Linked DNA regions of Drosophila melanogaster. The protein of the gene in region 2 interacts with the protein of the main gene of each other region in a pairwise test. Each region holds a gene or a part of one and is shown on either strand. Other genes may lie near its edges. The genes, in order: CG7849 and Ube4B.

Region 1 (3,790 bases), on a different chromosome or scaffold from region 2:
GTTGCTTATAAAAACTATAAGATATATATAAAATAAGATTTTAAAATAAAAACATGTGCGCTATTTTTGATTCTTTGGAAAAATCCGCTAGATAACCGGGAAAACAGCTATAAATATCTATTTCCTACTGAACCTAAATGTCTTTGTAGAGCTATAATTATATAGCTTATTTTCAAATTTTACCTATTTCTCTTTAAATTACCAACTGCGTGACCATTGAAATTCACAAGGTTTGGTATATGACACATTTCCTGAAAAAAATCACTTCTTAATGATATTGAGCACCGAAGAAATTAGTTTACATAATTTGGAACAACTGACCCTTCGATGGGTCGAGGTTATCAACTATAGCAATCTCCCTTGTTTTTAGAATTAATTCAAAAAAAATTTGTGAAATGTATGGTTTTTGGCTACCGCTTCTAATAAGATCACGTTTTAAACATCTTACTTTTACTAAACTAGAGTCTTACGTTTTTTTTTTATAAATGACCTATTTTGAACTGTAACCGTCAATAAACTATGCTGACTTAAATAAGCAGATATTCTGCATATTCTTATCAAAAATTATTACCAGAATTATTGACCTGATTGACTGCTTTATAGTTTATCTGCCTATATTTATTTGACTATATTCAATTACAATGAATTCCTAAATTAATCTGTAGCTCGCAGTTCCACTCGCTGTTGTCGCAGAAGCTGTGGATGCGCCCTCAGGATGTCACGTTGTTGACGGAGGTTCTTGATAATTCCTGGCAAGTGCCAGGCGTGTCTGAGCAGACTATCTGTCACATCAAAATGGGCATGCCGCACGCAGCGTAGTTGGGAGCAGTGCGCCACGGTTCGGAGGTCCAAAGCCATATCGTGCACTAGCGTAGCTAAGTACTCCTGCGTCTCGTTGATGGCGTGCAGTTCCAGGGTGAAGTGCGGTCGATCGAAGTGAATCAGCTTAATGCCGTAGACGACGGGCTGACTGTCGTCCGCTGGGCGTAGGAGACCCCTACAGGCCAGTTCATAGGCCTCCTGGGTCTGCAAATCGACACCGCAGAGCTCAAACATCTTACGCTGATGGGATGCCTGCATGGAGGCGGCTAGACTGCTGATCCTGTCTGCGGACACGTGTCGGTGATTGGAGCGCATTATGACCCGTGAGTCTGGTAGGTTATTTTCGGTTGCGATGCCTAGGTGCCCGATTAGATGGTAGACCCGCACTGGTCGATTTTTCCGAATAGAACTAGACTGGCCTGCTCCCCTGTTGATCCCAAAGACTACAAAAGTATGGTTAGATCTGGATTTAAAATGTTTTACATGACTTACGCAGGACTCCGCTGGTGTGATCGCCCAGGCTGGACACTGTGGTGCAGATCAAGTCTCGCGGAAGGTACCGCGGTCCGGTGGACAGAAGGTGGTCGGATAGATCCGTCTGCTCTCCTATGTTATGTAGTACGTGATCTGCTGCAGTGCCTGTGCCCAGGAGGCTAATGTTCTCTTGCAACTTGCGTGGTTTCCTCTGCTCCATTTCGTTGAGTCCTTTTGCAGATCTGTTTTTAATTTCAATTTGTTCTTTAAATGGCGCTAGGCTTACCCTTGCAAATGTTGCTCAGAATAGCATTGCGCACGTGTTTCACCTTCATACCGGATGGCTTGTACACATTTAGAATGCCATTCATGTGCTTAAACACTGTGGCGGCATCATAAACTTTGGTGAGAGCCATTTCTGCTTTAAGTTACGTATGTGCGCTATTTGTTTTTAAATTCACATGACAGTGTTGGTGAACACACACGAACAGCTGAGCACATGTGCTGCCCAGTACTGAATAGGGTATAGACATGCACTTGAAACTTAATTTATAAAATTTACATATAAAATGTTGTTTTCAAATATCTCTTTAATTTTCTAAAAAAAAGTTTAGTTGGAAATAATTCTCAAAACGTTGTGGTCTTTATACCCGCAAAAAAACATGCTTGTATCACTGCAAAACAAGAATTAAGTCCACCGCACGAAAAAACAAGAAACAAATCCGATTGGGCTAAAATTTTCTATAAATTTTACAAATTTCACGGGAATATTCTCACTGTGGCTTGCATACTATTTGCTTGCATTTAAAATGACAACAAAACTGCACTTAAAGAAGTTATAATCAAATAAAGTCTTATGCGTATCACTATATTCTCACAAGAGAAGTGGTTTTCAACGAAAAAAATGTTTTAAACTGGTAAACAGCAAACTGAAGCCTAGTGACTACCCTAAATGTTATTAAAATATCGGTGGCCGTTAGATATCGATATAAACGATAACATCGATTATTAAGCATATGTCTTTTACATCTCTATTGCACGTGTAGGATTTGTTTTGACCGCACGAATTTGTATAGCCGCATACCATTAATTCACGTTTTAATCGCAAGTATTGAGAGAAACCGCGTCTTGAGATGAAGTGGACTACTGCAAATACCAAACATGTAAACTACACGGCGAAGCACGAACTGTATGTGGGAACACACACGGGCTCCTTTAAACGTACGTCCGCTTGTTCTTTATCGAACAGCATAATAATAATGACTTCAACTTTTTAGACCTGGTGCCTGCATCCGAGAAGACCCCTTATGGACAAAGCAACCTGAGTGATCTGTGCGCCCTGGATAAGGATTCCCGCGTCACATCTCTGGCCTTTGGCAACGACGATCAGACGGAGATCCTTCTAGGCCGGGCCAAGGACGCCGTGGAGATTCACTCCTTCACAGAAAAGGGACATTCTAGGAACACAGTATCCTTCAATGCTGCGCCAATTGTTGGTCTGGCCCGATACAATGACAAGCTTATTGCCGGCATTGGCAACGGAGAGATACAGAGCCTGGAGCTAGAGGCGAACGACGAGTCCGAGCCCGTGGTTATCGCCACGGGTGACCAAATGGACCACCTGCGCCAGTGCGCCCAAGTCAAAAGCATTGTAGCAACTGGCGGCAAAGAGCGTCAAAACAATCTAAAGGTCTACGATTTAAATGCCGACGGTAAGCAGATTTTCACCTCGAAGAATTTGCCCAACGACTATCTGCAGCTAGAGGTTCCGGTTTGGGACAGCGATATCGGCTTTGTGGATGGGCCTAGTGTACTGGCCACTTGCTCGCGAACCGGCTATGTTCGCATCTATGACACGCGTAAGCAGCGTCGACCTGTTGCATGTTTTGCCAGCGAGGAGCACGGGATGAGTTTTACGACTTTAGTGGCAAAGGGAAACTTTATTTACACGGGTACCACAATGGGTGCTCTAAAAGCCTTTGACACTCGACGCATGAAAACTCATGTGCATACGTACAAGGGATTCACAGGCGGGATAAGTGACCTTCATTTAGATGCCACCGGTCGCTTTCTGAGCTCTGCAAGCCTAGACCGATACGTTCGTATCCATGATTCCGAAACCACAGTGCTGCTCTACCAATGCTACGTGAAATCAAAGGCCACTAAGATTCTTATCCGACCGTTTGAAAACGAGGCACGAGTAACAGAAGAACCTGAGGAGGTCGCTGACCTTCAAATGGATAGAAACGTGAGTGAAAATAAGAGCGTCAACGCAACATCTGTGGACAATGAATACGAGGATATGTTTGATCAGATGCCCACTGTGGGGTAAGTTTAACTACATATTGAGTGATTTAATAATACGCTAAAATCTTATATTTTGGCCAACAGTGACAGCGATAATGAGTCCGAGGAAGAGATGTCTAATATTAAGCTTTCAAAGGCCGATCTAAAAAGAAGATCGTCGGAAAAGTCTTTAAAAAACAAAAAGAAA
Region 2 (7,914 bases):
ACTGAGAAAGCCGTTTTGTTGAAAGATTACAAATGAATTGCGATGCATTTAGCTAAAATTGAACTTTAGCAGAGCCGCAAAACGATAGAGAGCCAACGCAGAGAACACGGAGCCACCCAAACACATGGATACCAAGTCCAATGATGACTCGGCTGGCAGTGACTCGCTGGACAAATCTATGCAAATCAAGTGTGTGATGGTGGAGACAACGACGACGGGCGACGGAGACTCCACAGTCGGAGATCTGGACAACTGCAGCAGGGATTCCGCTGCGGAATCGATTAACAAGGAATCCGGTTCGATGGAGGGAGCCGGCAAGCAGACGGATCACAAGACTGAAGCTGCGGCGGGGTCGTGCGGCGAGGGCGACAGTCCGCAGAGCAGTCAATCCCCACCAGAACATCCGGCCAGCAAATCGCCCACATCTCCATGCACTGCCTTCGAGACGAAAGTCAAGCTTATATCACAGAACCTCAAGGAAACCACGCTGGCGGAGAGCACCGGCGCCTCCGTATCAGCATCCACATCCACATCAACACCCACGTCCGCCTCTAGTAGCATCAGCGGCAGCATGCTGGAGTCGCAGCAGACACCCAGCCAGTCCACCCCCGAAACAACAGATTCCGCCTCGTCGTCCGTGCGCGTGAAGAAGGTACGCTTCCATCCGGACGTCAAGGAAAACGACGGCGGGAACTGGATGAAAAGAAAGCGACGCTCCATGCATACCAAACGAACCTCCTCGCCCAGCGGCGCTAACTGTGATGGCATGGAGCTGGACGGTGAGTACGAGGACAACGATGACGATGAGCAGGAGGAGGCGGAGGAGGAGTTCGATCTGGCCAAGACAATCGCCGAGGCGGAGGATTACCTCAAGCAGCACCCGTTGACATACGTGCAGCGCGTCGAACAGAACGGCGAGCGGCTGCAGGATGGACTGCTCAGCATCGAGGATATGCTAAACGAAGTCGGCGAGGAGGTGGTCACCGAGTACAACGACGAGGACTTCTTCAGACGCATCAAGCCCGAGAATGGCATTGAACGCATTCTGGGCAAGGAGACCAAGGCGGGAAAGGTACGTTTGCAATACGAAAGCAATAAACTATCAGTACGGTTTAGGGTTCACAAATTTTCTATGAATTCGATTACAGTTTCATTTACAACACATTGTTGGTTTATTCATATCATATTTAGTAAACAAAAATTCTAAGCTGGAAAAGGTTTGCTATATGACTTTTGCTTTTACAAAATAAATAAGCCAAAGATCAGCTTTCTTTACTTTGTAAAGCGAAGGAAAACTTTTAAACAGTCTGAATCTTATGTAGTTTGCCCTCTATCCCAATTGTAGGTATCATTTAATAACCTTAATATCCTTGCAGGTTGAATTCCTTCTGCGCTACGAGAACCAAGGCGGACTCTTCTGGCAATCGGAGGAGTTCATCAAGCGCACGTGCCCCTCGCTGCTCAAGGCCTACGAAATGAATCGAGAACGACGTCAGCAGCGCTTGGTTAGTCCTTATCCTAATTAAAACCACATATAATGCCAGTTTGTAATTCAAATGCTTGTGTTTTGCAGATGCATCACGTTGCCAAAAGGCAGAGTCTGCGACAGCGATACACGGATTTCTAGTAGCGGTTACTTAGGTATTAGGTTCATAATTAGGTTCCACATAATTGTAACATTTTTGTAAAATGAAGTAAATGATTTTCTTTTGTTGAACAAAAATAACTAAACAACACTTGCTTTTCATTATGTGTCATGAGGAATATAACCATTTTGGTAGGCCTAATTTTTGATTTCCCATCGTTAATCAGTTCGCACCTAGTAATTCAGCGATATTTAAATATTTTCAAACGACAAACAAACAATAGTTTCAGATATTTTCAAACTAGTTCTCTTAGAGCAAAAAGGATATATAAATTGGGTATAGATGCTTAGAGAACATTATTGCAATTAAAGGCAAAAACAAAAGTGCAAATTTAAAATTACAAATAGTATTCAAATGATTCACAACTTTTCGGATGTTTAACGAAATTTTAAATTCGATAATGAAATCATAAAAATATGAGGGCCCTGCAAGGGTTAAAGCAACTATCGGCGAACATTCCATCTTTAAGTGTGACCACGCCGCGGCCAGTGTGACTGTCGGCCACCAGACCAAACTGAAACACTGTTCGTCGACTGACGCGAAACCCAAAAATTATAAGTAATTCAATTGGAGGAAAGTTCGGAGGTCTGTATTTCTTGAGCCCATCGCCTGGCCAGTGAAGCATTTGTGTCGATATACGGATCGCATTCGGGCGATCCCCACATAGATATAGCCAGCCGAGGGCCGATAACCAATCCCCACGAAGCTCGCAGAACAAAAGAGAAATTTTTTGCGTGGTCACCACCAGACGTGGAATTGTTCGGGTGAATTGTCGAAACCATATAGAGTTCCGTAAAATGCAATAGTTACGGGCCGTAGCACAACCAATACGTTTTGCAGCAGGTGAAAGTCGGTCCGTAGAGTCAGGTAAGTGCGAATATATGTGCGGCGCAATCCTCGATTTTCCGTATTTCACACACCCTCACATCGAACCTATGTCCGATTATATATCCCACGATTTTGTGTACTTTATCCGCCGTCTCAAATGCGCAAATGAGCTGGTGATATCCCGTGCCGATCCGATCCTATTCGATCGGCTATCCCTAAACATTATATAAGGTTTCGCCATCCGATTCCGCATATGTTATGATATTGTTTACTGCACTTGTTTTGGGTGCAGTGCAGCGCCAGTGCTCGAGAAATCCTCTTCTAAAAATAGTTGCAGCCGTGCACTTTTTGTCAACCTCGGCCGATCTGCGTCCGCTTTTGATTCGCACACTGACTGTGTGCGGCAGGTCAGTTGTCCTGGTATGCTCCCAGCTATGCTGCACATCATCCATCTAGTGCGTAGTTGCGTAGCACAAAGAGAAACGGCCAATCCATCTGGTTTTGGCGATGGCGGCATTGTCTTCGCGTGAACTTGACGTTGACCGCTGGACTTTGTTTTAATTTTCTCTTTATTTGTTATTTTATTTATTTGTCGAGTGCGCGTGCTTTTGTTTGGTTCATTAACCCACATCATCGCCTCTTATTTTGCAGCAGCATCAGAAGAAGCGGCGGAAAAACTACGCCACAAACAAACAAAAACAGTGAGAGAGGCGAAAACAGATTTGGTAGCACAACTGCGCATTGTTTCCCAGAGTACCAGCGGATCCGAGAAATGCCGGAAGAAGAGCCGCCACAAAAGCCCATGGAGGAGGAGGAGGATGATGATCAGGAGCAGGATCAGGATCAGGACCACGAACAGGATCAGCACGAACAGGATCAGCAGCCCCAGTTAGCGCAGGGCGAGATACCCGGTCAGCAACTGCCTGAGCAACCCAACCCCGATGTGCAGCCGCAACAGCCGGCCGAGTCTGTGGTGGTCACCGAATTATCCGCAGAAGAGGTATATCGTTTTCGCAAACTTAATGAAGCAACAAAATATCATATTTAAAGTTATCTAAATCAATAATACAAGTAAACTATTTTGTAAAAGGAAAACGAACTTTAAACTATGATATACTTTAATTGGTAACAGCTAAATTGGTGAACTAACCTCTTTAATTCTTTCAGATGCGCGCCCGTCGTCTTCGGACTTTGGCTGCCCGAAGTGGCATCCAGTGTGCCCTGGCGCCCCTGACTACTACGCCACGGAAGCCGACCAACGTCTCTGGCGAGTCTCGACTGGTACGTGAGGCCACGCCCGGCGAAAAGGAGGTATCGCTGCCCACTTCGGCGCCCGCTTGGAGGGAACTGAGCGGAAAACCGGACATGGATGTGGAGATGAAGTCGGTGGTCTCGACACCAATGCAAGATGTGGATATGACGACAGCGCTCAGCCTGCCAACAGCCGAGGCCACCAAAAGGAGTGTGTTGCAGAGTTGCAAGATATCCGCTGGAAATGCCGAGTTGTCCATTGAAACTGTAGTCGGTCCAAAAAAAAGTGCGGATGAGCAAAACGAACAATTGCTCTCCCGCCTACTGAATGCCACGTGGAATGAGTACGGTAGCGGGTCCATCATTTGTGCCCAGAGTGCCAGCTTCCTGGAGCAGCAGCCACACCGCAGATTCGACTTCGAGTGCATTGTGGCCAATGTGCTCATGGAGGCTGTTTTGAAGATCTACAACGGTGAGCTGATCGAAGGAGATGGCGTTTCTGTTAAAGCGGACGATAAAGAGTTCTCCTCTGCCAAGAAAATTAAATCAGATGATACGGAAGTACAGGAAATCCTTGCCAACGCAGTAGCCACCGGTGGAGCAACTGCCAGCGGAGAAACTGCGGCTGCGGCTGCTGGCGCATCTGGACCAATTGAAGCAACTAGTAGCGAGGCAGCTGGTACTTGCGTGGCTCCACCAGTGCTTAGCATCGTTGCCACCACCAAACACCACGTGCTGCTCTATTTAATCCGTTGCTACCAGAACTATCAGACAGAGTGCTCCCGAAAGACGCCGCTCACCCAGCCTGCTCTGCAGCTGGCGTTTGAACAGGTGATGCGAATGACCGTCTTGGTGCTCACCGATCGCATTTACCAGAATCTCAACGGCCACATGGATCAGTCTGCTCTGCTGGATCTGATGTACATGGCCAAGGTGAGCGAGCCTTTCCTCATCGACTTGATAGCCCACACTCACCAGGATCGCGAAGCATTCGACACAATTTTCAGTCAGGTGCTTCGTGGCCTCTTTGCCGGAATGCAGCGCAATATCTGCACTTCCAAGATCAGTGTGCAGCAAATCGAATGGCTGTCCAAACTGGTGGTCATCAAGGTGGGCAGTGTGCGACCCATCGCAGATCTCGTATCCAGGCAGCCCAACTTCCTGCCACCCATCTGCACAAAGATCTCCGGTCGAGAAATAGTAAAATGCAGCTTTCTGGGACCCTTCCTTTCCGTGTCGCTGTTCGCTGAGGAGAACATCAAGTTTGCGGAGTTTACCACCAAGAACAAGCTTGAAGATGCATCCAGCTCTCGATTGCGATGGGTGAGTAACTAATTACTAATGTAATGTTAAACATAATGTAATCATTGAATGAATTCTTAATATTTTAGGAGCTGCACTCAATGCGCACCAATATGCACGTAGTGTTCCATTCACTGTGCGTAAATGCTAGCAGTCGTCCCAAGACGCTGGAATACATCGCCAGTATCCTTCGGCACAACGATCGTCGTGTGCAGTTCGCCAGCGACGAAAAGCTGCTGGCCAGGGACGGTTTTATGATTAACCTGATGAGCGTGCTGCAGCAGCTGTCGGTGAAGATCAAGTTGGACCGCATTGAGCCAAATTTCCATTACTACAAGAACTCGCTCGTTAACATCGAGCAGGACACGAAGATTAGGTACAGCGAGGAGGAGTACCGCAACTTCCTGGCCCGTGATTTTAGCCAGCCCGTGGAGAACACAAACTTCCAGACGCAGTGTTGGTTCCTCACCCTACAGGCCCATCATCTGGGCTACCTGCCTGCCATCCAGCGCTATCGCCAAAAGGTGCGCGCCATTAAAGAGCTGCAGAAACTCATCGACGAACTGGACCGTACCAAGTCCCATTGGATGAACTCCCGCTACGCCAATCGTAATAATCAGTTTAAGGAACGCTGGGAAAAGCAACTGCGAAAGCTAAATCGGTGGGTTATTTAAAATCATTTCATCATTTTGTGACCTTCACACGTTTAGTGAGTCACTTCCACTTAAGTGTGACACATCTTTGAATCTAATTTGGTATCCCTTCCGAATTTTAGATCAAAAACCTGCTGCGAGATCACTCTTTTGGATCCGGGCCTGCTCCAGCGCTGCACGGAATTCTACTCTACTGTCTGCGAGTTCATGCTATACCAGTTCGAGGGACGCCCGATCGAGGGACCCTTCATCTCCAAACTGCCCGTGCAGCAGCTATTACCAACGGATGCATTTTCCGCACTGCCCGAGTGGTACATCGATGACATCGCTGAGTTCATCCTGTTCACCATGCAGCATGCCAACATGGACATCCGTCAGGGCATCGACCACTCGATCATCACCTGGCTGCTGACCTGCGTCTGCGCATCGCACCTCATCAAGAATCCATATGTGACTGCCAAACTGGTTGAGGTGATGTTTGTGTTCTCCTTGAAGCCAGCCAACTCGGTTAACGCGGCGGTAGGTTCCGGTTACAATCGCCTAAGTGTCATACTTCTAAAGCTTTGTTTGTGTGCTCCAAACAGATGTGGAACCATGAGTTGGCCCAGAACGCCCTGGTCAGCTCACTGATGAGATTCTATGTGGACGTAGAGACAACGGGCCAAAGCACTGAGTTTTACGATAAGTTTACCATTAGGTGAGCATGCCAACCGAGCTACCTTCATAATTTAGAATGAGTCATAACGGCGGTTACGCACCCTCATTGTGGTAACCCAGCACGGAAAAGTTCCAAAAGTTATTTGAGGCGTAGATAAACACTCTTTTATATACAGCTAAATGATCTGGGCAATACAAACATGAATATATACATATTCGTATTTCATACTAATACGCTTAATGTATGATTTACAAACACGTGTAATTAATCAAATATTATTCCTGTACAGATATCATATTAGCCATCTGTTCAAGTCCATGTGGGAGAACCCCATCCACCGGCAGGCCGTTATTTGTGAATCCCGGGTGGGAAATCAGTTCGTAAAGTTTGTCAATATGCTGATGAACGACACCACCTTTTTGCTGGACGAGTGCTTGGAGAACCTGAAGCGCATACATCAGACCCAGCAGCTGCTATCAGATAAGGCCAATCTCAGCAAGATGAGCGCGGAGCAGCAGCAGAGCCGACTTACTCAGCTGGCGACGGACGAGCGCCAGTGTCGCTCCTACTTGACCTTGGCTCGCGAGACAGTCGATCTGTTTCACTATCTGACAGTGAGTGGAGATAGAGTGTGGAGAGTGCTTATTAAATTTAAACCTATTATCAATTTTAGAGCGACATTAAGGAGCCGTTCATGCGCGACGAGCTCGTAGATCGACTGAGCTCCATGCTGAATTTCAATCTGAAACAGCTGGCCGGGCCCAAGTGCAACGACCTGAAGGTCAAGAACCCGGCAAAATACGGCTGGGAGCCACGCAGTCTGCTGGCCCAGATCTTCGACATATATCTCCACCTGGACTGTGATAGATTCGCTGAGGCCCTGGCTGCCGACGAGCGCTCCTTCGACGTTCAAATCTGCAATGAGGCAGCATCGAGGATAAAGCGACTGGCCCTCCGATCGGCGGTAGAGGTAGAGCGATTCAAGGCGCTCACACAGAGAGCTCACGAAATCTATGGTAAGAACTTAAGAAACAACTAAATAAATCGGATTGAAATGCAAATGCAAACGTTTCCCTTGCAGTTACCAACCTACAGACTGAAGATGAATGCGCCGACGCACCCGATGAGTTCAAGGATCCGCTGATGGACACGCTAATGTCGGACCCCGTGGTGCTTCCCTCCGGCACGGTGATGGATCGGGCGATTATTACCCGCCACTTGCTCAACAGCTGCACGGACCCGTTCAACCGACAGCCACTCACCGAGGACATGCTGGTGGCCAACATTGAGCTGAAGCAGCGCATCGACGCCTGGCGCAAGGAGCAGCGTGGCAAGCGGAACAATTGCTAAGTCGCGCACCCTTTAACCCATACTGCTATACTTAGGACTAGTTTAATGTGCAGTTTTAGTGTCTACCTATCTTCTACATATAAATATAAATATTCTTTGTGCAGGATTTAGTTTATTTGTGGTGCCCCCGATTTTTGGGTGGCCTGCAAGTAGCAGTTACCATTAATCACCGCTCCCGTTAGGAGTCCTAATAATTTAGATGTTTGAAAAATATTGAAAATTTTCG

Evidence for each region.
Region 1: the proteins of Ube4B (region 2) and CG7849 interact in a two-hybrid assay, tested with the Drosophila melanogaster proteins (one large-scale study listed by BioGRID).

What each region holds. Positions count from the first base shown.
Region 1 is NT_033778.4:6,074,898-6,078,687, reverse strand, and holds CG7849 (uncharacterized protein), read right to left. Parts: upstream 1,779-3,790; 5' UTR 1,713-1,778; coding exon 1,583-1,712; intron 1,528-1,582; coding exon 1,315-1,527; intron 1,266-1,314; coding exon 655-1,265; 3' UTR 600-654; downstream 1-599. Other genes in the region: l(2)k09848 (lethal (2) k09848), read left to right, coding at 2,430-2,517, 2,574-3,624, 3,688-3,790.
Region 2 is NT_033779.5:13,013,389-13,021,302, reverse strand, and holds the start of Ube4B (ubiquitination factor E4B), read left to right. Parts: upstream 1-1,868; 5' UTR 1,869-2,513; intron 2,514-3,125; 5' UTR 3,126-3,246; coding exon 3,247-3,474; intron 3,475-3,641; coding exon 3,642-5,048; intron 5,049-5,116; coding exon 5,117-5,688; intron 5,689-5,802; coding exon 5,803-6,199; intron 6,200-6,264; coding exon 6,265-6,377; intron 6,378-6,627; coding exon 6,628-6,952; intron 6,953-7,011; coding exon 7,012-7,354; intron 7,355-7,419; coding exon 7,420-7,688; 3' UTR 7,689-7,914. Other genes in the region: CG9933 (uncharacterized protein), read left to right, coding at 125-1,072, 1,377-1,505, 1,574-1,627.